Arabidopsis thaliana: one gene and its partners. The protein of the gene in region 3 interacts with the protein of the main gene of each other region in a pairwise test. Each region holds a gene or a part of one and is shown on either strand. Other genes may lie near its edges. The genes, in order: PUB9, PUB29 and RK3.

Region 1 (7,830 bases), on a different chromosome or scaffold from region 3:
TTATATTTGAGGTCAAATACATTTCTGGTTTTTCTTTTCAGGTGCCAGATTATTTATGTTGCAATATAACTCTTGAGATTTTCCGAGATCCTGTAATTTCTCCAAGTGGGGTTACATATGAAAGAGCAGCAATCCTTGAACATCTCAAGAAGGTTTGCATTATCATCGCTCTTTTCTTGTAGCCTTAATCTCTATAAAAAATATTCCTCATTCCTGTTAAGGTTTGATCGTTTACACCACTTGATAGGTGGGGAAGTTTGATCCTATAACTCGTGAAAAAATCGACCCGGCTAATCTCGTTCCAAATCTGGCTATCAAAGAGGCAGTGGCAGCATATCTAGAAAAACACGTCTGGGCTTACAAGATGGGTTGTTGATCGAAATGGGGATTAACATAAACACAATGAAGCGGATGAGAAATTGAGGTTAACTACTCAGGTGACCGAACAAAACAGATGGGTGCGTTTACCTTTTTTCACATTTGTGTTTGTTGTTGCCGATGTTTTCAGTGTAAGATTCTCTGCCCTGTGTATATATTACAATGTTTTTTTGTGCACTCTGTACACATTGGCCATATGGCTTAGCCTATATAACACACATACAGAATTTATTTACTATTGAGGAAAGCCCAATAACATACATACAGATATTGTTTATCATTGAGAAAAGCCCAATAACAGACAGATTTAGATGCAGTTCTCTGACGTCAACAAGATTGATGAATTGTATCTCATTAGGATGTAGTCCAAGGCATGCTTAAGTATTTTTTGAAACCTTCTTGGACCACTCCGGTTCTGTGCCATGAAAAAAATCTGGATTGTGTGATTAATCATCTAAAATAAAACTGAAAGCCTGAAAATTCAATATAAAAACAAAAAGTTGTCATGCAATAGTGTAGAAAAACAATGATTTAGTTGAATGTTCATCAAAGTTGAAAGAAAGCAAAAGACATGGGCCATCATAAGGTATTCAAAGTATTGAATGAATTCTGCCTAATAAGGCGTAAATCTTGGGGTCTTTTAAATAGAAATAAAACTACTATTTTCTTTATCTATATGATTTCCACTGGGGACACATAAAAGGTAAACCCACCATTGTGGTTGTGGATTATTACGATTCTTTTTCTTCCTTTATGGGATTTATTTCTTTTTTTGTATCCAATGAATTGTAAACGTTACTTCTTGGGGATAAAAAGTTAAAAAGAAAGCATCAAATTCTTTCTTTTCTTGGCTTTTCTGTGAAAGTTTGGTGAGGAATAACACCAAAGAGTGGTTTAGGACGAATCCATATTCTATCCTCTCTATTAAATATTCCATTTTTTCAACTTTCTCACGATATGTTGACCTGTAATTATTACGAATCACGAGTTTTAGCAATTTCGTGATTCAATTCTAACTTCCAAGCAATCCAACCAACCAAATACATGTGATTTTTATCATTACTTACATGCTTCTTGCCTTGTCTAGAACATTTTTTAGAAATATATTACAAAACTACTCCGTTATGTTTTCTAACAAAACTTATAATTCATCAGTGATAGTCGAAATTTATTTATAAGCTTTGATGAGTATTTATTTATATATAAATAAACTTAAAAGTACTGTTTTTTTCTAACACGACAATAGGAATCACATCGTCACGTTACATTACATAGAGAAAAAATCACATCAATGGAAAACTCGTGACTCTGTAATAAACTCTTTTTCCAGAGAGAGTGGAATTAGATTGATTTGCTTTGTGGTTTATCAGTGATGTGAGGAACACGACATGACAGCCTTTCTATGTATTTTTAATAATCTACTTATTTATACACAGAAACAGACGAAAAGCTACACACTGTTACTTGTTGACCAAGGCTTTCACAGCTGAATAAAGCCACCAACATTGATTTTATTGATTGATTTCTCCAGAAACATCAAACGCAAAAACTATTCACACAGATTTCTACTTACATCTCACATACGAAAACCAATAACCATTCAGATCCTAAAGATATGAATAATTTACAAAAATTCTTACAGCCAAATAAAGTAAAAAAAAGAAACAAGATTTTAGGTAATTTACATTGCAGATTTCAAGGCTTTTCTCAGGCTGTATGAGTGAGATTCATAGCTTTTCTCAGTCTGTCCAATATCCCGTTTGCTTTCCTCTGCGCCCTTGAAGTTCCTTCACGCGAAAGCTTTGTTATCGTTCCATGAGCATTCTCCTCTTCTTTGATCTCCTTCCACTTTGTCCTGTCGCTGAAACATATAGTATGCAGTATCACTATCGCATTCTCTTTGTTTCGCTTGCACTCGCTCTCTCGAGTTATCTTCAGCAACCATGAAACCCCACCGAGCTCACCCAATTCCTCCACAGCCTTCCAGTGAGTAACAAGCATTGCCAATATAGCTAAAAGCTCATCAACGTACAACCCATTCGAGATTTTCTTACCTAAAACCCTAACAGCTCCGTCTCTCACAGCTCTACTCCTGTTCTCATGGGCTATACAAAGAGTGAAGATCGCTGCAGCTACGTCTTTGATAGCTAATGGATTCCCTTCTTCTAGGAGATCGATAAGCGGTTTCAGGATTCCGGACTTCCCTATAAGTACTTTGTTTGAATCGAGAGCTGACAGAGTGAAGATCGCTGCAGCTGCATTGCTTCTCGTGGCGACTGTTCCACGCCTCAATGCATCGATAAGGAGAGGAATCACATTAGGATTTTCGCAGACGAGCTTCTTGTTGCTGTCATCATGTATTGATATGTTCAACAATGTTGTAACCACATCTTCTTGAAGCTTCTCATCTGGGTTTGACCCGTGTAACAAGGGATTCACCAACCTGGTGATCTCATCCGGAGATTCGCCAAAAAGAGCTCGGAACTCAGTGCCTTTCCTGGTCAGAAGTCTTAGCTCCTTGGCAGCTGATTTTTGATCTTGAAGGTTCGAAGAAGAGACTTTACAGAGCAAGGAATTGAAAATCTCACGATCTGATCTTGTCACAGTTTCATCTTCATTTACAAGGTTGGGATGATATTGGCTCTTCGTCTCAAGCCCGTTCTTCTTGCACCATTTCGAGATCATTTCACGGATTAAGAGATTAGGTGTTAAAGCCGTGTGAGGCAGAACTTGCTGAGTCTTGGGACATGTTCTGTTCCCTGAGCTCAACCATTTCTGGATAAATAACTTGTCGTATGTCTGCAAAATCACACACAAATATATAAATTTTTAGTTATATGCTTTCCAGATTTATTAAACAAGCTAAGGAACACATAATTATCCTCTAAAAATCACTTTTTTCATTTACATGATAAAATCTCCAGATTTCATCGTTTCGAAAATCATTACCGAAACTACCGACAAAACAAGAACTTTATGAAACCTGAGTCGGATTCTCTCAGTCGGGTCGAGAAAACAGATGAAAAAGTTTCAAGCCAATCAAAATTCCCCCAAAAATCCAAAATTTTCAGTCACCTAACACAGAAACAGCAAAATTCAAAACCCTAGAAGAAGAAGAATTGAATCGAAATGCGACGTTCACAAACCTGACCAGAAGCCAAAACGACGGGATCCCTCATAAGCTCATTAGAGAGAGGACAACGAAACTCCTCAGGACAAGACACAGTCTCGAGCATCTCTAACGAGGAAGATTTCGCCATCTTCCTCATCGTCGCTTCTCTCAACGCAGACAAAGCGTCCTGTAACTGATCAATCGTCTGAACACCCAAATCATCTTCGTCATCGATCTTAATCAGCAACTTCTTCATCTCACGCTTCAGTTCCTTGGCTTTAGCAATCGCCGTCGGATCCGAATCGAAAACACCGGTCTTCGCCATCGCCGTCGGTTCCACCCGCCGGTATTCACCAAACCCTTCTTCTCTCAGATGATACGTATGTCCAAATTTTTGAATTGATTTTCTCACATTAATTAATTTTATTTATTTATTTTCTGTGTGTTTGTGAAAGAGAGAGTAATAAATATGAGGAAGAGAGAAGAAGAGGCACAAGTGTTGTTGTTGTACTCTAGTGCTTCACTATAATAGAATTGTGGCCTGCACCGAATTTGCCACGTCATTATTTAGGAGTATTTACTAATTAATTCGACCAAAATTAAGAATTTAATAATGCAGCACGTATGACCTACCTCGCGACTAAGGTGTCAAAATACAGCCGACACGATTTGTCTCGTAGACTCATACACGTTTACTTATTTTTTTGGGTATAAATCCATACACGTTATTGGTAATTTAGCTAGTTATAACTTAATAGTAATTGATCGGCCTAATGGTTTTCATCTTTCCCTTGTGTTTGGTTTTGGGAGTTCGAAACCTCAATACATTGTTTTGTAACTAAGAGATTTTAAACGACGAAAGAGCTATTTGGAGAGTTTGTCAAGCCAAAACAAATATTCCCAAAAGTTTGTGAAAAAAACAGAAAATGTTTCAAAGGTTTACGAATTACGATGATCAAACTCAAATCTTTAAGACACCGAACCCATAACTATTATTTTATCCACTAAATTACTATTATTGGTTTATTGCGAGTATTCGAATTTGGTTCCTTACTTATGATGATTTTATTATTCAGTTATTAGACCATAACAGCTTTATATAATCGATCATTGTTTGATTCGTGTTTTTTTTTTGTCAATTGATCACTCCATTACCATCATTGTTTGAATTGTTGACCCAAAGAAACAGAGTAAGGAAATTTATAAAAGTAATCTCAATAACTCAAACGTCGTAGGAGGTTGTAATCAAAAAACAAAATCATCTCTAACGAAAAATGTAACATTAGTGTGGTAAACCAAAAAAAATTCCAAAGACGGTAACGGCGGCGAAAATTAGAAGATGTGCGAGAGGAGTGAGTGTAATGAAAGTGGGACCCGCACAGTTATTCCAACATGGGAACAGCTGTCTTTCCGCGTGGATTCTGTTGTACTCCTCTTCACTCTCTCTCTCTATTTCTTCTTTGACGTTTTTACCCCTGCCGTTTTTCACTCTTTCTTTTTCTTCTTTTTATTTTTGTTCTAAACGTTTTAAAAACAAAATTGTATTAAAAAAAAAAAAGCAACCAAGTGTTATTATAGCTTTCGACGCGTGATTGGATGAATTAAGAGAGTTGACCAAATCTATAACATTCAAAAAAACCAAAAAAATGTAACCGGAAGATTTTGTTTTATAATTAACTTCTTTATCAAGATTTGGTTTTCACCTTTTAGTAACATTCTGTAGACAATAATATTAAACAAGATGACACATCACTCCATGTCTGAAACAAATTTAAAAGGTGAAAACGACTTCTTCCACCAAAACATGAAATTTTGAAAATATGTTTTAATTCCAACAAATGTTTTAACTAAACCAAGTTATATATATTGGCCACGGAATTTGTCTTGGCACTTTGTCTACATTGTTAATTGTTAGAACTTCAAACTAAAATTATTAGTACATTTATTGAATTTGTTTAAATTTGTATGGATTTTTTTTATAAAAAAAAATACTATTGTACTTCGGTTTATTTAACCACCATCCATAAGAGTGGGTGATCGATGTTCATATACAACGATACAAAGTGTTGAGGTTAGAATAGTGTCAACTCAATTCTCAAATTTGAAGTTGTTAGTAGACCAACTATTATTGAGTGGCATTTTGAAATAGACACGTGTATGAATAATATCTATTATTTCTGAGAAGTGGGCACCACTCATCTGCAAACACAGAAGAGAATCTCACAAGTGCCAAGCTGGACTGCTGATAAAAAATCAGTTTACGTAGGACCACCCTCTAACCCACGTGTCCCTTTCTAATGCCCTCGTTATCTTCGAACTGTCGTTTTTTTTCTCTGCTTGCTAGACATCTCTGCTTTCTCAAATTATTATCTTTGTTTCTGTTTTTTTTTCCTTTAAGTTTTGATTGTGTGATAATAACACTCTTATCTTGAACATGTCATTTCCAAAAGTTTGAAAAAAACAAACTGAATCTTCTGAAAGAAAATATTTTTTTTTTTGGTACAAGGTTAAATTCAAGAGAAAATTGATGAATCTTTGTTATTTTCTTCACAATGCAGTGAGTTTGGTAATCTACAGATGAAATTACACAGAGAAAATTCATGAAATTATGAGTTGTTGGCATGTAAGGTGTGGTGTACGTTAACATTAAAAAGAAATGTCAAATTGTCAAAATATATTAACATAAAACATATATGTGGACACTAAACTGGACATATTATATATTTATGCTTGGGATATTTTTAGTGTTTTTTATAGCGAAATATCCTTGATGTTATATATGTATGTGTTTGAATTCTCAAACTTCTCCACTTCCTCTCGCCCTATTGTTTTGTCGGCGGAATGTTGATATTCTTTTCTTTTTTGAAAAAAACGTAATGTTGATATTCCAACATGCAGTTCAAAATGATGGAAGATTCAATTTGAAATAATGTTGAATGTACGTCGAAATTCATGGGTACAAGCTATTTTTTGGTGTATAGTGATTTTTCAGTCCATATATACATGAGAATCGAAAATATTTCTGATAAAAATTTCTGAATATGAAACAATAACCATTCTTGGTTCGTATCTTTCAGTTTTAGTTCATACATTAAAGACTTTTTCGATTAAAAAAAACATATATATAGAGTACAGAAGATCATTAATGGGGTTTGGACGTATTTGGAAGCCAATTAAAGTGTTGTAAGATAGAAGACAAGACCAATAATTGAAAGAAATAAAATAATTATCATATTAATGTTATCATGTTATGTGGAACATATATGAAAGAGGCCCATTTGACACGTATGTTTCTTTTGTCACACACAACCGATATGTTTTGTTTTACTAATTAGCAACCTTTATATGTTCTTAATCTTACTACTTAGTACGTTTATGATATTGTTCCAAATAAAACTAAAGTTTCTCATTTAATTAAACGTACACAAAAAACTTTATTTTATCATACTCCATATAGATGGTTGGATAAACTTTACTTTGGCTTGCTTGAAAATGTTGAGTGTATGCAACTTAGTTGACATTGAATATTCAATAGAATTTTATATATCATCTTAAATGTATAATCAAATGGTAACTCTGTAGCATAAGAACAATGTACTAGAGATAGAGAGTTCTCAATTTAACAAAACAAAGATGCGAATGTTTATGCTTCTATTCATTAGTGAGGATAAAGATTCTCCTCTCATGAATCCTTTTATGAATGAATTCAATAGGCCCATTGAAAACAAAAACGTGTAAAGCCTAATAAAACCAATAGATGTAAATCCAAAAGGTGAGATCCGTTGAGTATGGGGGACTTTGAACCCTTAAATAGGATAAAAACTTGACCATGAGGCCCAGTTTCTTGTCAAAGCAAGCCCTAGAGAATGGGGATCCCATACTTTGGTTATTGAAAGCCACATATCTACTTCAATGAAATGAAAGAAAAAAGCCTCAAGTCTGAACGATCAAATCTCATCCAGTCATCCTTCGTGTTATGCTTTCTATATCATCTTCACCTTGTACCTTACGTAATCAGCGTTGTGAAATAGGAAAACGTGGCTTTCAATTCATATATTTATACACACACAATTTCTCTAAATATGTAACTTAAAAATCGAAAATCTAGTAGAAATAAACCATTGTTTGCATGTATAGATGGGCGTGATTGTCGTTAATTGTATGCATAAAATGTTTTAGAACTTGAATAATTTATCAAGTCTGAACATCTTCATCTATACTAGGAATGCCTAAAGCAGTAAACGCAATAAAAAGGAACTTCAAATCATCTTTTAATTTTGTAAAGATGTATCCTAATCTCCCATTTGATTTCGTTTAGTAACCGATGCTCACATTAATTT
Region 2 (7,779 bases), on a different chromosome or scaffold from region 3:
GAAAAAGTTATTACAAAAACAACATAGAAAAAGTAGCATCTGAAAGTATTTAACAAAAAAATCTCACCTTTCATGTTAGTTTTGATGTTCTTAAACTTTAATCCAATTTGTTTTTTCACAAGGAATGCATTCTCTAAAAACTTCAAACCATTGTCCTGCTGAGGATTTCTCCTCGGCATGTGGATTTGACATTCAAGTTATAAAGCAGGTGTTTTAGAGATTCCTTGCAGAGATAAAAAATGGCGAGCGCGGTAAAGACTTCATTAAACATCTATCGGACGATTCTCTTCAAGATACAGAGGAGATTTTGAACTCCTTGGTATAGAAACATGAACTGCAAACAAAAAAACATAGAACTTTACTCGCAATTCAGAGGAATTTAGGGTTGTTGTATAGAGTTTATGTGGTAACTTTGGATACCTTGTAACTGTAGCGATCTGAGACATCTTGATCGAAAAATCGGAGAGCAATAACAAGAAGGGAAGAGAAGAAGATGTTGAACAACAAAAACCAGTTGTTATTTGTGGGTTGAGCAGAGAAGGATGTGTAGGAAGTAGGCATTGTCGTAGAAAAAAATGGTGACACCAAATGTGATGTTCTTGTAAAAGAAGTAACATAACTGGCAGAGATATTAAAATAAAAAAAATGAAATTTATTTTGGAGGATAATTTAATAGGGTATCAAAAACATATGGATATATTAAAAATTAAAATAAGTTGTAGATGATATTAATATCCATATGTTTTTGATACTCTATTAAATTATCCTCCAAAATAAATTTCATTTTTTTTTTAATTAAGTTATAAAGTTAAATAAGACAAAAGATTATGGATTCTGAAACCTTCTATAATATCAACTCAGATAATTTTAATTGTTTTACTAAAACAATCTTTATTGTTCCTCAATCAGTTTATATTTATTATATCGTATATAATATATAAAAAATTCATTCAATCTGAAAACTTACGTGTATAGATTCCTACTATTCAAAAAGATAATATTTTCCGTTGCAAATCAAATGTTGAAACAAGTACCATTCAAATCAAAATTCGAACAAAGGATAGAATATAAAAAAGCGGGTGGGTGTGAGAGAGGCATGACCATGAAATGTTGCAACGTCCTCTAACAAGAAAGAAAAGTAAATTTGTTAAAAGGTACTAGTTTACAAGATAATTTAGACATTAGAGACCAGTTTTCGTTTGTCACTTCAATCCAAAGGGAAGAACCTTATTCCTATATTTTGGTTCAGTAATAAGCAAAATTGCATAACCATCCATTTAACTCATAGTAATAAAACTTTTAGTCAGATTCAGTGAACCATACTTTAACTTAATCTAGTACACACTTACGAAGCTGTCATTTGAATTCTTTTGAACCAAAAGTATCTATCTAGTCACACTAGAGAGTTTTAATTTATAGCCTTAATCAAATTAATCAGATAATAGTCACTCGATGCCTTTCCCCACCATCTAAACTTACAAAATCATTCTTTTAACTATTGATTTTGTTTTATTCAAATATTTTTATAAACTAAATGTTTGAAATTATGCCGAATGATTCAAATTGCGAATATTTTAAGTGCATATCCATCTTTAAACCTTCTTTACTGTTTCAAAATAATGTTTTTGAACACACACAAGTTGTATAATTGTGTGACACAAGCTACAAATTTGAAAGAAAATGATATATTTGGCTCTAAATCGTGTAAACTATTAATGTATCAAATTGTTGCTATGAGTAATTAAATCGTATAATTCTCAATTAACACGAGGCAAATATTAGTAAAACTGACAAAATTTCTCATAAGATTTACAACATCTATACGTTCAAAATAGTTTGATAATAAGATTTACTTATATCATATTTATTCATAATGTACTACTAAAAAATCAAAAAGGCATAATATGAGTAGTCTTGGTCTCGTAAGCAGCCAAAGCAGAGGAATTAAACTTCAACACTTTAATCAAATCTTTCGCCATTTGTCTAACCATCGCCGAACAATTGCTCTGTATCACCACTAACAGCTTCGTAACTCCGTTACTTCTCTCCACCGTCTCTTCCACCGTCTTATCTTCCCTGAAAACATAACACAAACACCACAAAATCGTCACGGCGTGTTCCGTCGCCGTCGTCGATACTTTCAAGAGCTTCTTCACCACTCCTTCCACACATCTACCATTGTCGTCTCCACAAATCTCCAATCTCCCTTCTCGCTTTGACGATAAAGTCTCTAACAGCTTCAACGACTTCTCCGTCACGGCAACGTTTGTTAACGTCTCCGTCAGAAGAATGTCTTTGATCTTCGTGATTGCTTTTGCAGCGATTAGTTTCGATCTCACTCGTTTTGATTTGGAGATTGTGATTAGAAACGATAAACTCGCTTCGATCAAACTCGGATCTGACGACTCAGTGATACTTATCGATTTCATCATCTCTGTTAAAACTCCGTCACGTTCTGCTATCATAAGCTTTGATTTAGCGTCGAAGGAGATCCAATCCAAAACCCGAACCGATTCGATCTTCGATTCCAGATTCCCGCGTTGAATCGCTAAGAGAATCGCCGTTAAACAATCTCCGCCGTCATTCGCCAACATCAGATTCGATAACCGTTCACGATCTACTTTAATCGAATCCAAAATCCTAATCGCCATTATAACTAACTCGATCTTCGTCTTCTTCGTGCGTATAATATCAACGAGCATTGGTACGAACTCCATCTTCTTCGAGAGAAACTCTCTGTTCGAATCCGAATCCTTCACGAATCGAACGATCTTCATCAAATTCTCCAGACTCATCAATCTCTCCAACAACACATTCACTTCTTCCTTCGTCGGAACTTCTCTACCAGACGGCGGATTCAGAACCGGAGAATCACCGTTGTGACGACGGCCGATTGAATCAGACCAGATATTGATAAGACGTTGAAGAGTGAGGTTAGGAACAAAATCTTTAGTTTTGAGAAGTTGCATAGTAGCGGGACAAGTGTTGTTACCACCATCGAGCCATCTCTGGATACTGGCTCGATCATAAGTCACGCCGGTACAGAGACTAACCGGAGATCTCATCACGTCAAGAGATATCGGACATTTGAAGAAACTTGGCACTGTAATGTACGTCTCTGTTTCATCTCTCCCCATCAGAAAAAAACAACAAAAGAATCAGAGAAAATCTGGGCAGAGAAAATGCGGGAAAGTGAAGATGATGCTAAGTGAAAGGTGAAGAGAGAAAGTGAGTGGAGGTGGGATTTTAAGAGAGAGTCAAACGCACGCTTGCGTCACCGTAGCAAGATTATACTATATACTATAGTAGTAGTGTATTAAAGATGTTAATGTTGATGACAAGTCAGAAATTTTAAAGAATCAACAAAAATTCTGGTCATGGGTCAAAAATCAAAGAACGTTTCAGAGTCAGGGGATTGGGTCAAGTCGTAACCGTTAAGATGTGTTGTTGATGGGAGGACTTTGACCAACGGTGACGATCTTTTATTTATGCTTGCTTACACGTGTGAGTTTGGAGGCCAGAAGCGTGTGGGAGTGGTGGGACATGTTCTCTGCACGAGTGGCCTATTTTGGTCTCGTCGAGAGCACATGGGTTTGGTCCATATAATGTCCTGTTTTTAGTACTTTTTTTATGAATGAAATTTAAAAACAAATGATTACAAAAGCAATGTTATAATATTTGTGTTACTTAAAACAAACTCTGAGTCAGCAAATGTGGTACAGATATACAAAGATGATATTGGTCCATGGCCGAATAATATTTTGATGACATTTATGTTTTGGATAGTTTATGTCTAATGTTGTTGATAAATAAATTGTGTTGTGGCTTCCACTAAGGAGAAAGAGTGTTTGATAATTTTATTATTCGAGCGAAGGTGTTTGATTCGGGGGAAAAGTAAAAGCGTTTTTTTTCTTTTTCGGATTGTCATCTTCTGTTGAGTATAATGTTTGTTAGATAAATTAGACTTTTTTTTGTGATGAGCAATAACGTATATACAATTATTAAAGTATTCGAAGATACATAACATTTTAGCTGTCTGAAAAGTATAATGTATATATGTATTATGGTTGGACTGTCTTATTGTCTAATGAAGAAGATGTATAACTGGCTCATAACAAATTAGGGGGTTGTATTAATTATAATTCAAGTTCAATGGATTTGAGATTGGTCTTGATTTATTTATTAATCATTGCTTTAGTTGCTCACGGTTGTGCCATTTTTAATATATATAATACATATGTTTAGATGCTAAAACAAGGTGGTGCTTTGCATTTAATAATACATAAGTTTAGATGATTAGTTTTACTTTTTTCACGTACAATTAGTTTGTTGCTCTTTTTCAGAAAAAAGGTTAATCGTATCTCCTTCGATCCATTAATAGTACGTATAGACGTATAGTTTCTTACTTTGAATAGAAGAAAATAAAAATAAATTTGAATTTTTTGAACCGTAGATGAAAAGCATAAGGTGATGACCGAAAGTTGTTGGCCTAATAGTAAAATCAAACTTAAGTGTTGAAAATATTTCAATTTTCAGAGGTGAGAGGTAGGAGTAGGATGAAATGCTTTGCTGACTCGTGAATCATTTATTTTGAATATGTTGGGACAATAATTAAGTTTCTTATTATTAGGTCAACTTTCAATTAGGTTTAGCATTATTAAACGGGTAAGATCATAACTAATAGCCGTTAAAAAGAGTGTAAAATCGTATCAACCTTTTAATAGACATCGATCTAGCTAGCACTTGCCGATATAGCACGTACGTGTATTTAAGTGAAATGAATGGTAATCAAAAAAAAATTTCTTCTCGTTGTATTTGTTGTTTATAATCATTCTTATGGCAGGTAAATGAATTGAGTATCAGAGTATGTATATATTAACTCGTGAGCATATAATTGATAATAGGGTAAATTGCACCGAAAGGAAATAAAACTATAATGATGCCAACGTGCATCATTGTCTACAATTAGCAATTATGCCAAATCGGAAAAACATCTACGCCAATTATCTCACCTTTTAATAATTTTACCTCACTCATCATCTGATCCATCCATTATGGTTGTTGGTGGACAATAATTTTCATTTGTCCTCATATGCAAGGAACTAAGGATAGTTTTGGGAGCTTTAATATTCTCTTTTTTTGCAACTAATGTATTTCTAATCGAGGGAACATGTAATTCTAATAAACAAAAGAAATATACTAACGAAAAAGAAGATTTTACGTACGTCCTATTTTGTCATTGATAATACATATCAATCTCATAGAAACTGCAACTTTAAAACTTATTTTGTTTCATGTAATTAGTTAATAGTTAATTCACATGGTGTCATGGTCGATGACTATATTTGTTTACCGCGAGATTTAAACTAAAAATAGAATGAGATAATATACTCAGTGATAAGCTTTTATCGAAAAGAAGAAAAACACATTCAGTGAAGATTAAAAACGTTAGTCTGGTTGTTAAATGGCAAAGATAAATCTGTATGAGGCATATTCAATGTTAATTCTCCATACATTTGGGGTGTAAATAATTTAAACTAAATATAGGGTGAAGATAGAGATATGAAGAAGAATCCAGTTCCAAAAGTGTGGGGTTGTATTATTATTCAGAGGTTGCCATTGGCAGAGGCAACTCGTTTGCATCACATGAAAAAAAACATATCCAGTGTCATGTTCCCATTCGAAGTCGACATCATTCAATTCTTAGCGAGTTATTTATGAGGAATTTTCTAGAATATTTGTAAGGAATTTATCAGATTTAACCAGCTTTTTTTTCTTCGATTCAGATTTGGTACAGTTGATTTTGTTGTGTAGTATATGTTAACTTCAACACATTATTAAATTTGGGTGATATAAAACGGGTAATTTATATGGTAAGAAACATCTAAACGTTATGATTCTGATTAAATCAACAAAAAATTGGTAACCGCGAAAATGAAATCCTTTTATTGAGGCGGGCCAACTGATACATATTCAATACATTAGTATATAGTACTATTTTCTTAGAAAATACACAATTACCAGAACTAGCTTTTGTCAAAGAATGACTAGAACTACCTCCAAACGTAATTAGTGTAGAGGTTAGACGCGCGGCCTCCGAACAGATCCATATAGCATCTAATGTTTTTCTTTTCGAATATTGATTATAACCTAATCTACACATAAAATTTAAAATGCTATTGATAATAACATACTAATGATGAAGATTTTTCACACGCTACGGGTAATTAAGGAAGATGATGAGAGTAAAATGAGGAACCACAAAGTAACATAGGAAAACAATGATATAATTCATTCGCGTGCGATTTACATATAATTTCACAACAATCTACTTTTGTTTGTATCATGTAATAAAGGTCATCCTTTTGTTCCTTAATATACGGGATGATTTTGATCACACATATTACGTATACATGATCAAACAAGAGTTCTTTAGTATATTTGAAAGAATTGTTGACAAGAAAGAAACAAGGTTTCGCATGTACGAGGGGGTATCTGCTCGTGTGGGCTATACATGTTTTTGAGTAAACGTGTCGTTATATACATGTAACGTACTGAATATATAGTTTTAAAAAGTTTGGAACATTGTTGGTTGATCATGTGACCAAATTTATTATCTTACACTTTGTGGTCTATCTAAGTTGGAAATTTTTGGTTAAAGGAAATTGCTGACCTAGATTCATTCATAAATTTTCAGGTTAAAGACCAAAAAAGTTATATCTCTTATCTATGACTCGTCATTGGTGCTGGAATTTGATATTTTTTTCCGAATTTTATAGCTAGTTAGTATATCGGTTGAGCTACAAAACTAGAATAGTATGACTTTATTTTATTTGTGGTGTGATTAAAAAAATCAAATTATTAGATTAATTATTGAGAACTATACAGCTATAAAGGTATCATCAATATGCATTTATGTTAACCCACATATAGAGTTAAATTGTGCTTGTTGAAACAAAACATCTTAATCGATCGGTGACATGCGGGATTTCGTGTTACTTGAATCACAAAAATTTACGAGACATTAACGACTAGACTACTAACAATTTGGATATTATCTGAAGAAAAAAAACTTTTAGTAAAGTGCCGTCAAAAAAATGGAAAAACTTTTCGTAAAGTCATATGAGTAACCATAATGGGGACTGCATAAGCCCATTTGAATGGGCTTGAATTTGATGATTAAAAAAGCAATGGCAATTATGTTTTTTCCTTGTCAAAGCAGTGCAATTATGCTTTTAATTTCCATCTTTTCCGTAAACATGATAGCTTAACTGTTAGTGGCCGGAATTTGCAAATTTCTAGAAAGTTTAAAGTACCGGTGAATTTGAAATCGGATAATCAGTCTCTACTTTATTAGAATCATGTATGTAAGCTATATTCGATAGTGCATGATTGGTTAAACTCATGTGTTGAGGCTGATAAACTTTTTTTATATACTATGAATTGAACTAATGAAAGTTGTTATTTAGACATTGATTATGCACATGGATGTCGTATTTGTATATAACATGCTAGCTTTATCTATAGAATAGAAGGGCATATTAAACTCAGCGTTTTAGAAAGTCACATACAGGAACCGCAAACTTTTTTAATCAAGTAATTAATTAGTGGAGAATTCTTTAACAAAAAGAAAGATATTACGCAGCACTTGGACAAATGGTTGGCTCATCAGTCTCTACAAGTGACACTAACCATCTGAGAAAACATTAACTAATTAATAACAAAATCGAAAGACAAGAAATCAATACTGAGAATATAATATCAAAGGACAAAGGAAAT
Region 3 (10,005 bases):
TCTCCGTGAAGTTGTAGATAATATCGTCCCATTGTTGCATCTCCAGAATGCCGCTAAACCGGAGTCCATCCCAAGGGCCGCTCCGGTACACTTCCAAAAAGCTGGTAAAACCAAAAAACTCAGGTAATCCTAGAGTTTCGAGTTTGAACATGAAACTCCCGCTTGACGGATCAAATGAGCTTTTCCAGGATGTGACGAATCTGTTAAGCCCTCTTTTGTGATCCCGACCCAATTTCATCTGCGGTAATAAAGTATCTGTCGGGAAATCGAAACTCTGCCACAAAAACTCATCTGATTCATTGATTTTGGAGCCCCTTAGAACAAAATTGCCATTGTCAAGAAGCTCTGCCACCACAGAAGATCTCACCGCACCAGTCAGATTCGTTGACCAAACATGCGTATCAGAATTATCGAGGATGACAAGGTTAGCATTGGAGATTTTGAGGATTCCAATAGGATTAGAGAGAGGAGTGTCTCTATTGGCAACCCATACATAGGTTCTCTGAGAGATTTTCTTGTACCAAATCCCAAGGTACCAACTATCCCCAAGGATTCTGAAGAAACCAAGCTCGAAGACACCACCAGGAGACACAATGGTTTTGTTGCTTGAGATTGTCAGGGATTCTGTAGCTGACAAAGTATTGACAGAGATAGAGAGATCAGGGAACAGAATTAAGAAGAAGAAAAGGAAAACGAAGAAGGTGTAAGAATGGTGTTTGTTTGGTAATTCACCTCTCATCTCTCGATCTCTCTCCACCACTCTCATATGTTGTTCATTTTCCTTTTGCTTTCTTTATTTATACGATTTTTCACATATTTATTTCAGGTTTATCTAACCCATGAATCTTATTTATATTTTACCCACACGACAAAGAGTAGTGTTATTCCACGTTCCATGACTTTTTATCGCTTCAATTAAAATTACTTCAACCAACTTTTTTCATGGTCAACAATTTACCAGAAAATCTACGTGTGAAATTAATTTCCATGCAACATAGCACATGCAGTTCACCAAGTATATATTCATCCATTATCCTTGTCCCACGAAAGCCCACATCACACGGTATCGTTCTCGCATGCAAGTGCATCCTTCGATACATTGAAAATGTTAGCCTTCTAGATTATGGCCATATGTGTAATTAGAAGATTTGTGTGACTTTGTTCGGCCATTTTCTATATTAAAAAAAAAATAGCAAAATTTAGTCGTTGTTTCGAGGAAAAAAAAAAAAAATAGGGTGCCAAATTCAGTTTAACTTAACTGAACTTAAACAAAATAGCACTAAATTTAACCAGCCTTGTAATTCATATTATTTACGAAATTTTTATGTAAACAATTAATGGTACTAAAAACCAAACTGATGGAAAATTTCTCAAAAAAAAAAACAATAATAAATAAACAAACTGAATTTGTCAAATCCTGAATTTATCAAAAATAAAATAATAATAAATAAACAAATTGAATTTGTCAAATTCTGAACCTACTTACTCACAAGATGTCCTTCTTTGTCTAGTCTATATATTGACACCACACAAGTGAAAAGGAAGAAAATAAATAGTTTCTCCAAGATAAAATATAAAAAATTCTGTCAACGAAAAAATACTTTGTCAAATAAGATAAACTAAAGAGAATTTTTTTTTTTCCGCTGAGATTGATTAATAAAATTAAGTGTTCGGAAAAAAAGATAAACTAAACAGTAACTAAACTAAAGACAGCCGAAATGGAACAAAAAAAAATCATGCAATACGCAAACAAGAAACAAGATTAACTTAAAATATATAAATCATGATTCACAAGAATCGATCAAGATAGACATGGACTTAGGAACTTATCATAAAGATTAGGGAAACAAAGCATAAATAAGAAGTAAGGACAACCATTAAGAGATCACGAATATATAACACTAATCATCTCTCAAGAACCCGACCAAAAAAAATCATCTCTCAAGAAATTAATTATCTATGCTAAATATTCTAAATTTCTAAACTCTCATTTAAAATTTAAATTAGCAAGCATTCATGTCAATATTAATGTGCTCATAAATCACAATTCTGTATATCAACTATCATTATTAAAGGACGAGCTACTCATCAAAGGTTAATTAAGGAATTTTGACAGAACACTTTTGATGCATAAAAATCCTTATGATCTAAAACAATTTTAATCAAGCCTCTCCAAACATTGAAATTGCGAACACTTTTGATGCACAAAAATCCTTATGATCTAAAACAATTTTAATCAAGCCTCTACAAACATTGAAATCACCTTGAAATGAAGGAAAATTTGAAATCACCTTAAAATGAAGGAACCATGAAGGATTTACTCTGTCATCAGTTAAAAACAAAAAATCCACTATACCCCCATGATCTTCCTAAAGCCCATAAATTAAATCCACCGGATTTTGGCCATGGTTAGCGATGGAAATAGGTGTTGCTGATCATAAAAAATTCTTATAACGTATGTACTTATTAAAAAAAAAATCTATTACAACATGTACAAACCTAATCTCAAAACGTACAACCCGAAATTCTACTAACCAACAATATTTGCCTCTTCTAGTAGCCATAATTTATAATATGAAAGTCTGAGAATCTTTCAAAATATCACATTGATGTCCTATAACTGCAGGACTATTTGGGTTATCCATAAAGCAATTACAGAATACATGCTTAATTAAGACAATTGAATCATGTAGTAACCTTTGCAACGGAGACGTACAGAGAAAATACTATGCACATAACTAATACCATCTTTCCTAGTTGATTCTTATTGTCGCTCAATTTAGTCATCTTAGTATAGAAGATTGGCTAGTTGACAGTCACATTACCGAGCATCAAGGACCGAGACAGTAATTTGGTTCACTGTCCATGATTCATCGTCGCGCTGTTTACTCGACGAAGAATCAGTGTCAAGAAGACTTCTCTCCAGGCAATAACCGGGCGCTTTAGGTTGAGGAATAGTTGTTGATTCGCTTCCGAGCATCAAAATTACCAAGGACATAGTTGGTCTGTCCTCTGCACGTTCTTGAACACACAAGAGGCCAATTTGTATGCATCTTAAGATTTCATGTTGCCTGAATGTTGATGAAGAATCTGTGATGATTGGATCTATGATCTCTAGCCCTTTTCCTTCTTTCCAATTCCTCCACACCTGTGTATAATGATCGAAATTTTTCTAGTGTTATCATTATTTTGAGTGTAAAACAAGATCAAGTTTGAGAGGTTTTTAACTTACACAACCGAGAAGGTTAAGGTCACGGTCCGAATTGTAGAATCCTTTGTTCCTCTTGCTACTTATAATCTCAAGAAGCAAGACCCCAAAACTGAAAACATCTGACTTCATCGAGAATATCCCGTCCATTGCATATTCAGGAGACATATAACCGCTGAATAACGAAGATTAGACTCAAAGTTTTGAGTTATTTTTTTTTAATTCAGATTTCAAACAAAGATTTTTAATATTTTGGAGAATGATTGCTTACTAGGTTCCAACCACCTTCCTCGTATTAGCTTCTGTCTCATCCCGTCCAAAGATCCTAGCCATTCCGAAATCCGAGATCTTTGGAGTCATATATTTATCAAGCAAGATGTTACTTGCTTTCAAGTCTCTATGGATAATTCTAAACCGTGAATCTTGGTGAAGATATAGAAGTCCTCGAGCAATACCATTGATGATATCAAATCTCATTTGCCAATTTAGCTTAGAGTTTCGGGATTTGTCTGCTAATGAATCATCACTGGATTGAGTACATTATTTTTAAAGACATTGAAAAATTGTTAGAACAGAGTTGTAAGGAGTTGAGACACTAACCAAATAGATGAGAGTCGAGGCTTAGATTTTCCAAGTACTCGTAAATCAACATCTTCTCACCCGCATCGACGCAACATGCAAGAAGCCTAACAAGGTTTATGTGCTGAAGCCTTGCAATCAACTTTACCTCATTCTTGAACTCATCAGTCCCCTGAACTGATGTCTTTGATAGTCTCTTCACTGCCATTTCTTGACCATCAAGTAACTTTCCCTGTAACCCTTAATTTTGTTACACAACGAAATATTTGTCCAGCGATAGATTATGAATTAAGTTTTCAATCATTTTTACCTTATAAACTATACCAAAACCACCTTGTCCTAGCTTGTTGGCGTTAGAAAAATTGTTTGTGGCCATGGCAACTTCTTCAAACTCCATCAATGGCAATTCGAGATCGTCTGTATTGTTTTCTCTAGATATGTGTCTCCTACTTGATATTACAACTTCGTTCATTAGCAAATCTCGGCTTCTCAGTTGATGATCAACTGTTACATACAGACACCAAAAACAGTAAAGATATTAGTTTTAAGAAATTTACAAACAAAAAGAAAGGAATTAAAATTTACAGATATACCAATAGGTGTTTCGATTAGTATTGATCGCTTCTGCTTCCTTTTCCACAAGAAGAAGATAATGAAACTTAAAAGAAGCAAAACGCTCACTCCAATACTCGAACCTATGATTTTTGCACTTCTGTTTCTTTTGTCCTCTGAAATAATGAAAAGAGATGTCAAATTGAGCACAACATTTAGGACCTCGACCATGGAAATGAATATCATTTTATAAAACAAACTAGTATTAGTCTTATGATTTAACAAAATAATAAACATTGTCGTACTTTTGATTAAAGATAAACGCCAACAAACAAAAAACAGCGTTATACTGTTATCGCCAATAAAAACAAAACATAAAGATTGGTCTACCTAAAAATAATTTCTTTTGGCTTTGGATCTACCTTACCATATTATTCTTGAGATTGATAAGTTTTTGTGAAGAATATAGTAGTAATCAAAAGTTTCACTCATGCGTTGCATCTTTTAAGAAGATTAAAAGTCCATTGGACCTTAGTTCTTTATCACAAGAGTTTTCACATATAATGCCAAGACCGAATGCGTCAACATCTCAATCAAGTTTAAGAAGTTTGAAAAGAGGGAAAATAAAACTGAAAAACGTTTTGTTAAATTCCAAATTCGTTAACCAACAACAATATAACATTGACTTGCACTATTCAACACCATTCTCACATTCTACCCCAAAAAAAAAGTGCTTTATCTAACAACCAAGTTAATTACTATTCTTGAAACCCTTAAAAAACGTTTCTTCCTTTTGTCGTTTAAGAAAATCTTTAGTATAATGTGATAGGATTACTCAATAACTTGATTGGGCAGTTTTAGCATCAATTTTTAGTCTTACTGACAAAATCTTTTATGATGTCTTTTTAGTTTCTAGTATGTATAAAACTGTTTACATGTTTTGAAAAGTGATCTTGAAGACTATTATCAACCGTTACTTAGCAAAAGTAAATATGTGGAAAATGAAAACCAAACATATGTCATTTAGTCTAATAGAGATAGTGGAGAATGAACTAACCGAGATCAGTAGCAGCCAATCTAACGTAAAGATCTTGACCACCTTTGGCATAATTCCTGATATCAAAAAGCTCTCCGGTCCAAGTCACACAACCCGACCCGCTACCCCGGATATCCGTATTCGCAAACGCCGTGCAATTACAATCTCTTAAACACTTCTGTTCACATTCTTTCACACCAATTCCTCTGTCCACACTAGCCGTGGTAGTATCCGGCAATTTCATTTTCTTCAACCGCACAAACCCATCTCCGCCACCACAGCTCAGTAGCGTCTTCCTCACGCAACCATCCGACCCGTCTCTCAATCCCCACACTTGAGGATTCCTCGGCTTAAACCCTTTAATACAATTACAAACAGGTGAAGTGTTCGAGTCGCAATAACCGTAAACACCACACTCTTTGTACTCATCACATTGGTCTTTTGGTGCGTACCAGAATTGGTTCCAATTCTGTGCTGTCTCAATCCAAGTGAATCTTTGTAACAATCCTGAGGAGCTTATGCTTAATCTCGAGTAAACGTCGCTTTTAGTGATTCTAAATGAGTAAGTCACTTCTTCTTTACTCGTAGTGAAATTGAAAACCATGTATTCAAATGGTTGCATCTCCGGTACACCACTAAACCGGATTCCATTCCATGGACCACTCCGGTACATTCGTGATTCTCTGTTCCATAGAAAAATCTCAGGGAAGCCTTCGGTTTCGAGTTTGAACGAGAAATCTCCACTTGATGGATCATCTGGAGATTTCCATGATCTAATGAATCTGTTGAACCCGGTTTTGGCATCCCAGCCAAGTTTCATCTCCGGAAGTAAAGTATCTGTCGGAAAATCAAAACTCTGCCACAAAACTCCATCTGGAGCGCTGTTCTTGGAGTCTCTGAGCACAAAATTACCATTATCAAGAAGCTCTGCCACCAATGGAGATCTCACATCTCCTCCGGTCAGATTCGTCGACCAAACCGGTGTATCGGACTGATCCAAAACGACAAGATTACTGTCGGAGATTTTGAGAGTTCCGATGGAACTAGAGAGAGGAGTGTCTCTGTTTGCAACCCATACGTAGGTTCTCTTAGAGATTGCCTTGTACCAAATTCCAAGATACCAACGAGAATCTAAACCGGGTTTGAAGAAACCAAGCTCGAAGACATTACCAGGAGACACAATGGTGTTATTGCTTGAGATAGTTAGAGATTCTGAAGCCGACAAAGTGTTGGCAGAGATAGAGTAAGCAGGGAACAGAATTAAGAGGAAGAAGAAGAAGAAGGTGTAAGAATGGTAGAAATTTGGTAAACCTCTCATTTCTCTAAACCAAGTTTTTTGTTTTTCACTCTTTCTTGAGAAAAGTATGAGAGTTTATTTCCATTGGAGATATCGGACATGTTTTGTGTAATGTGTGAACCTTACGTAACCGATTTTATTTCTGTCAATAATATATTACCTTGCTTTTTTTCTTTTCTTGGTCTTCTTGTTCGCATTTGGAAAAAATATCTAGTTATGTACTATGTGTACAGTCCAATTCATAGTTGACCTAGCAAATAAAAAGTCTTCTTCTTCTTTTTTTTTGTCAGGCTTTCTTTCCTTTTCCAATAGTCATTTTTACTTCATAAATTCAGAATTTTTCTTCAAAATATGATATTATTGATGACCATTTTTTTTAATAAATTACTTAATATATTGCTTTTTCGTATTTTATTATCAGTCAACCTTTTGTATGCATGCTTCGAGAGTTATATAAATTTCAGTGTTCTTTTTCGTAATAAATAACTCAATTTTTTTTTTATCCTTCCCAATAAGAACTTCAATGTTAGTATTCATCAAACAAACCCTACTTTAATTTATTTCCGCATTCTCCGAAGACAAAAAAGAAAGGGGTCGTTTCACGTTTTCCTGACTTTTTCTTTTTTTCTCTAACTCTAAATAATTCATCATTCCATTCAATTTAATAATGAGTCTACATTTGAATTATTCATCACCAAATATAATGTTGTCCTATGCATTTTGTTTGACGATTTTTGGCTTTGGAGCTTGGAGGAGAGGAAAATTTATGTTAACACGGTTTTAGGTATATTATATAAGTATGAAATACGAAGACCGAATACTCTTTTCACCATCAAAACAGTACTAATTACCATAGTCAACGCTCCAAAAGTCTTATTTTTGAACATCCTCATAATTCTTCGTTCCTCGTTTGATTTATATATAATAACTCTATACATAAAAATCAATCACATTTTAATTAAATTAAACACAATAATCCTACAATATTTGAAACAACTCACCTATATTTAATAGAATGAAAAACAATTATTATGATCCTCATTTCAAAACTAACCTAAATATTTTAAGACTACCACCTTTGTTATAGTATAAACGATTTATTTGAAGATTTATTTCAGATAAATGCTTTTTGATATTTTATCTGTTTTCATTTGTTTATACTTGTAAATTGATCCATTGTGATATTTTTGAAAAAGAATAGTGTGGTGATTTTTTCAAAATATCAACATCATACTGTAATAAAACCCCATTTGTAATGTTTCACTTTATGAACAAAATTTCAAGTTTCAACAACCATTACTCCATTATCCTAATTAACCAAAAAATATTATACGTTTTCACAACAATTATATAAAAAAAAACTTTACAAAAGAACAAACAAAAGAATCTTATCGTCCAAGAACAACCGTTGAAGTGATCTCATTAGAAGAAACGATGTATTGTTGGCTCGAATCAAGAGCAAAGTTGACATCAATGGAGTTTCTTCTGGTGGAAGTAAACGTTGGTTGTCTAGGCGCAGCGAGCGTCGCTGTGTCACTCTCTAACATAAGCAAAACTGAAGCCATGTTGGGTCTCTCCGCAGCCGAATCTTGAACACATAGCATCGCTACGTGTATGCATCTCAAGGCCTCTCGCTTACTGCATGTGACCCTGATCTTAGGATCCACAAGCTCCTCTGATCTCCCATGAGTATACAAATACCAAGCCTGCAAGCATTCAGTTTCCACCACTAATTAGACCATTTATAAACCAAACCAAACCAAAATTTCAAATGCTCATTAAGAGAGAACAACAGTTTTTACTCTTAGTTTTTGGGAAACTTACATAACCAATGAGACTTCCATGTTCAGAAGATCGAAGACTTGTGTTCCTCTTCCCACTTACAATCTCTAGCAACAAGACACCGAAGCTGTAAACATCGGATTTCACCGAGAAAAGTCCTTCCATCGCGTATTCAGGAGACATGTATCCGCTACAATATACAAATATCAAATGTAAAGTAAGTTGCTAAGAACATGATTCATTGAAATAAAACATTTGCTCTGTTTTTTGGAATTCAGTTTTTACTTACTAAGTTCCAACAACGCGAACCGTGTTAGCTTCATTTTGGTTACCACCAAAGATCCTTGCCATACCAAAATCTGAGATCTTTGGATTCATCTCTGCATCTAACAACACATTGCTAACCTTCAAGTCTCTATGAATGATTCTCAATCTTGAATCTCTATGAAGATAAAGCAATCCTCTCGCAATCCCTTCAATTATCGAAAACCGCAGTTTCCAGTCTATCAACGCTTGTTTCGTTTCATCTGTACATTCAAAAGAGCAAAACTAAGAAGAATGAAAGGAAGTGCTTATTCTTTCTTGGATCTTTAAAAAAGGAAACATACCAAAGAGGAAGAAATCCAAGCTCTTGTTAGGCATATACTCATAAACAAGCATTTTCTCTTCTCCCTCGAAGCAACATCCAAGTAATCTCACAAGATTCCGATGTTGAAGCTTCGCTATGAGAATAATCTCATTCTTGAATTCATCAACTCCTTGTCCTGATTTACCAGACAATCTCTTCACAGCTATCTCACGTCCATCTTCGAGAACACCCTGATAAATATCACAATCATCAACAAAAAAATCACAAAAATTAAACACAAAGACTCTTGTCTATAACCAAAGTAATCAACCAACCTTGTAGACTGGTCCGAATCCACCTCTTCCAAGCTCATTTTCTTTGCAGAAATCATTAGTAGCTATGGCTATAGCATTCAGAGAAAAGACAGGTAACTCGGATGTGTTAACAGCTTTCCCTTCAATCATTATGTCTACTGATCCTGAAAACGCTGAAGTAGTTTCTTTGCTCTTGGTCAGATCAGCAACAACAACCGATGTATCGGTGTTCTTACCACAATATGCTCCTGAAACATCTGCATATAATAAAGAGAAGTAAATCAACAAGATCTTATGATGCAGTAACCAAACTAAGAAATCAAGAAAGAACGTAGTTAGTACCTTTCTTTCTCTTGAATCTCCATAGAAGCAGAGCAAAGATTCCTATCAAGATCACACCAACAAGAACCGCGACAATCACTGCAATCTTTGTTTTCCTGTTCTCCCCTACTTCGGAATCAGCAAGACGGATATGAAGCGAAGAACCACCAGCTTCAAACTGTTGTAAATCCACTAAATCTTGGTTCCAAATCATGCATCCAATACCACCAACAAGAGAATAAGCATTGCAAGAACAATTCCTCAGACACCTCTCTCTGCAATCCTCAGGATCAACAAGATTATGTTCAGGAATTTCAAAATCAGGCAACTTCACAGATTTCAAAGTCA

The links.
Region 1: the proteins of RK3 (region 3) and PUB9 interact in a two-hybrid assay, tested with the Arabidopsis thaliana proteins (one study listed by BioGRID).
Region 2: the proteins of RK3 (region 3) and PUB29 interact in a two-hybrid assay, tested with the Arabidopsis thaliana proteins (one study listed by BioGRID).

What each region holds. Positions count from the first base shown.
Region 1 is NC_003074.8:2,350,869-2,358,698, reverse strand, and holds PUB9 (plant U-box 9), read right to left. Parts: upstream 4,060-7,830; 5' UTR 3,816-4,059; coding exon 3,525-3,815; exon of another isoform or gene 3,178-3,524; coding exon 2,086-3,177; 3' UTR 1,834-2,085; downstream 1-1,833. Other genes in the region: CHIP (carboxyl terminus of HSC70-interacting protein), read left to right, coding at 42-152, 248-376. UniProt on the Arabidopsis thaliana protein: Functions as an E3 ubiquitin ligase. May be involved in the abscisic acid-mediated signaling pathway, at least during germination.
Region 2 is NC_003074.8:6,432,345-6,440,123, forward strand, and holds PUB29 (plant U-box 29), read right to left. Parts: upstream 3,703-7,779; 5' UTR 3,138-3,702; coding exon 1,890-3,137; 3' UTR 1,738-1,889; downstream 1-1,737. Other genes in the region: AT3G18700 (uncharacterized protein), read right to left, coding at 68-155, 281-334, 421-561. UniProt on the Arabidopsis thaliana protein: Functions as an E3 ubiquitin ligase.
Region 3 is NC_003075.7:11,386,398-11,396,402, forward strand, and holds RK3 (receptor kinase 3), read right to left. Parts: upstream 6,830-10,005; 5' UTR 6,694-6,829; coding exon 5,397-6,693; intron 4,516-5,396; coding exon 4,381-4,515; intron 4,292-4,380; coding exon 4,098-4,291; intron 4,020-4,097; coding exon 3,809-4,019; coding exon of another isoform or gene 3,804-3,808; exon of another isoform or gene 3,718-3,803; coding exon 3,480-3,717; intron 3,384-3,479; coding exon 3,233-3,383; intron 3,149-3,232; coding exon 2,822-3,148; 3' UTR 2,430-2,821; downstream 1-2,429. Other genes in the region: B120 (S-locus lectin protein kinase family protein), read right to left, coding at 8,061-8,378, 8,497-8,644, 8,744-8,981, 9,063-9,273, 9,358-9,593, 9,679-10,005. UniProt on the Arabidopsis thaliana protein: Involved in the regulation of cellular expansion and differentiation.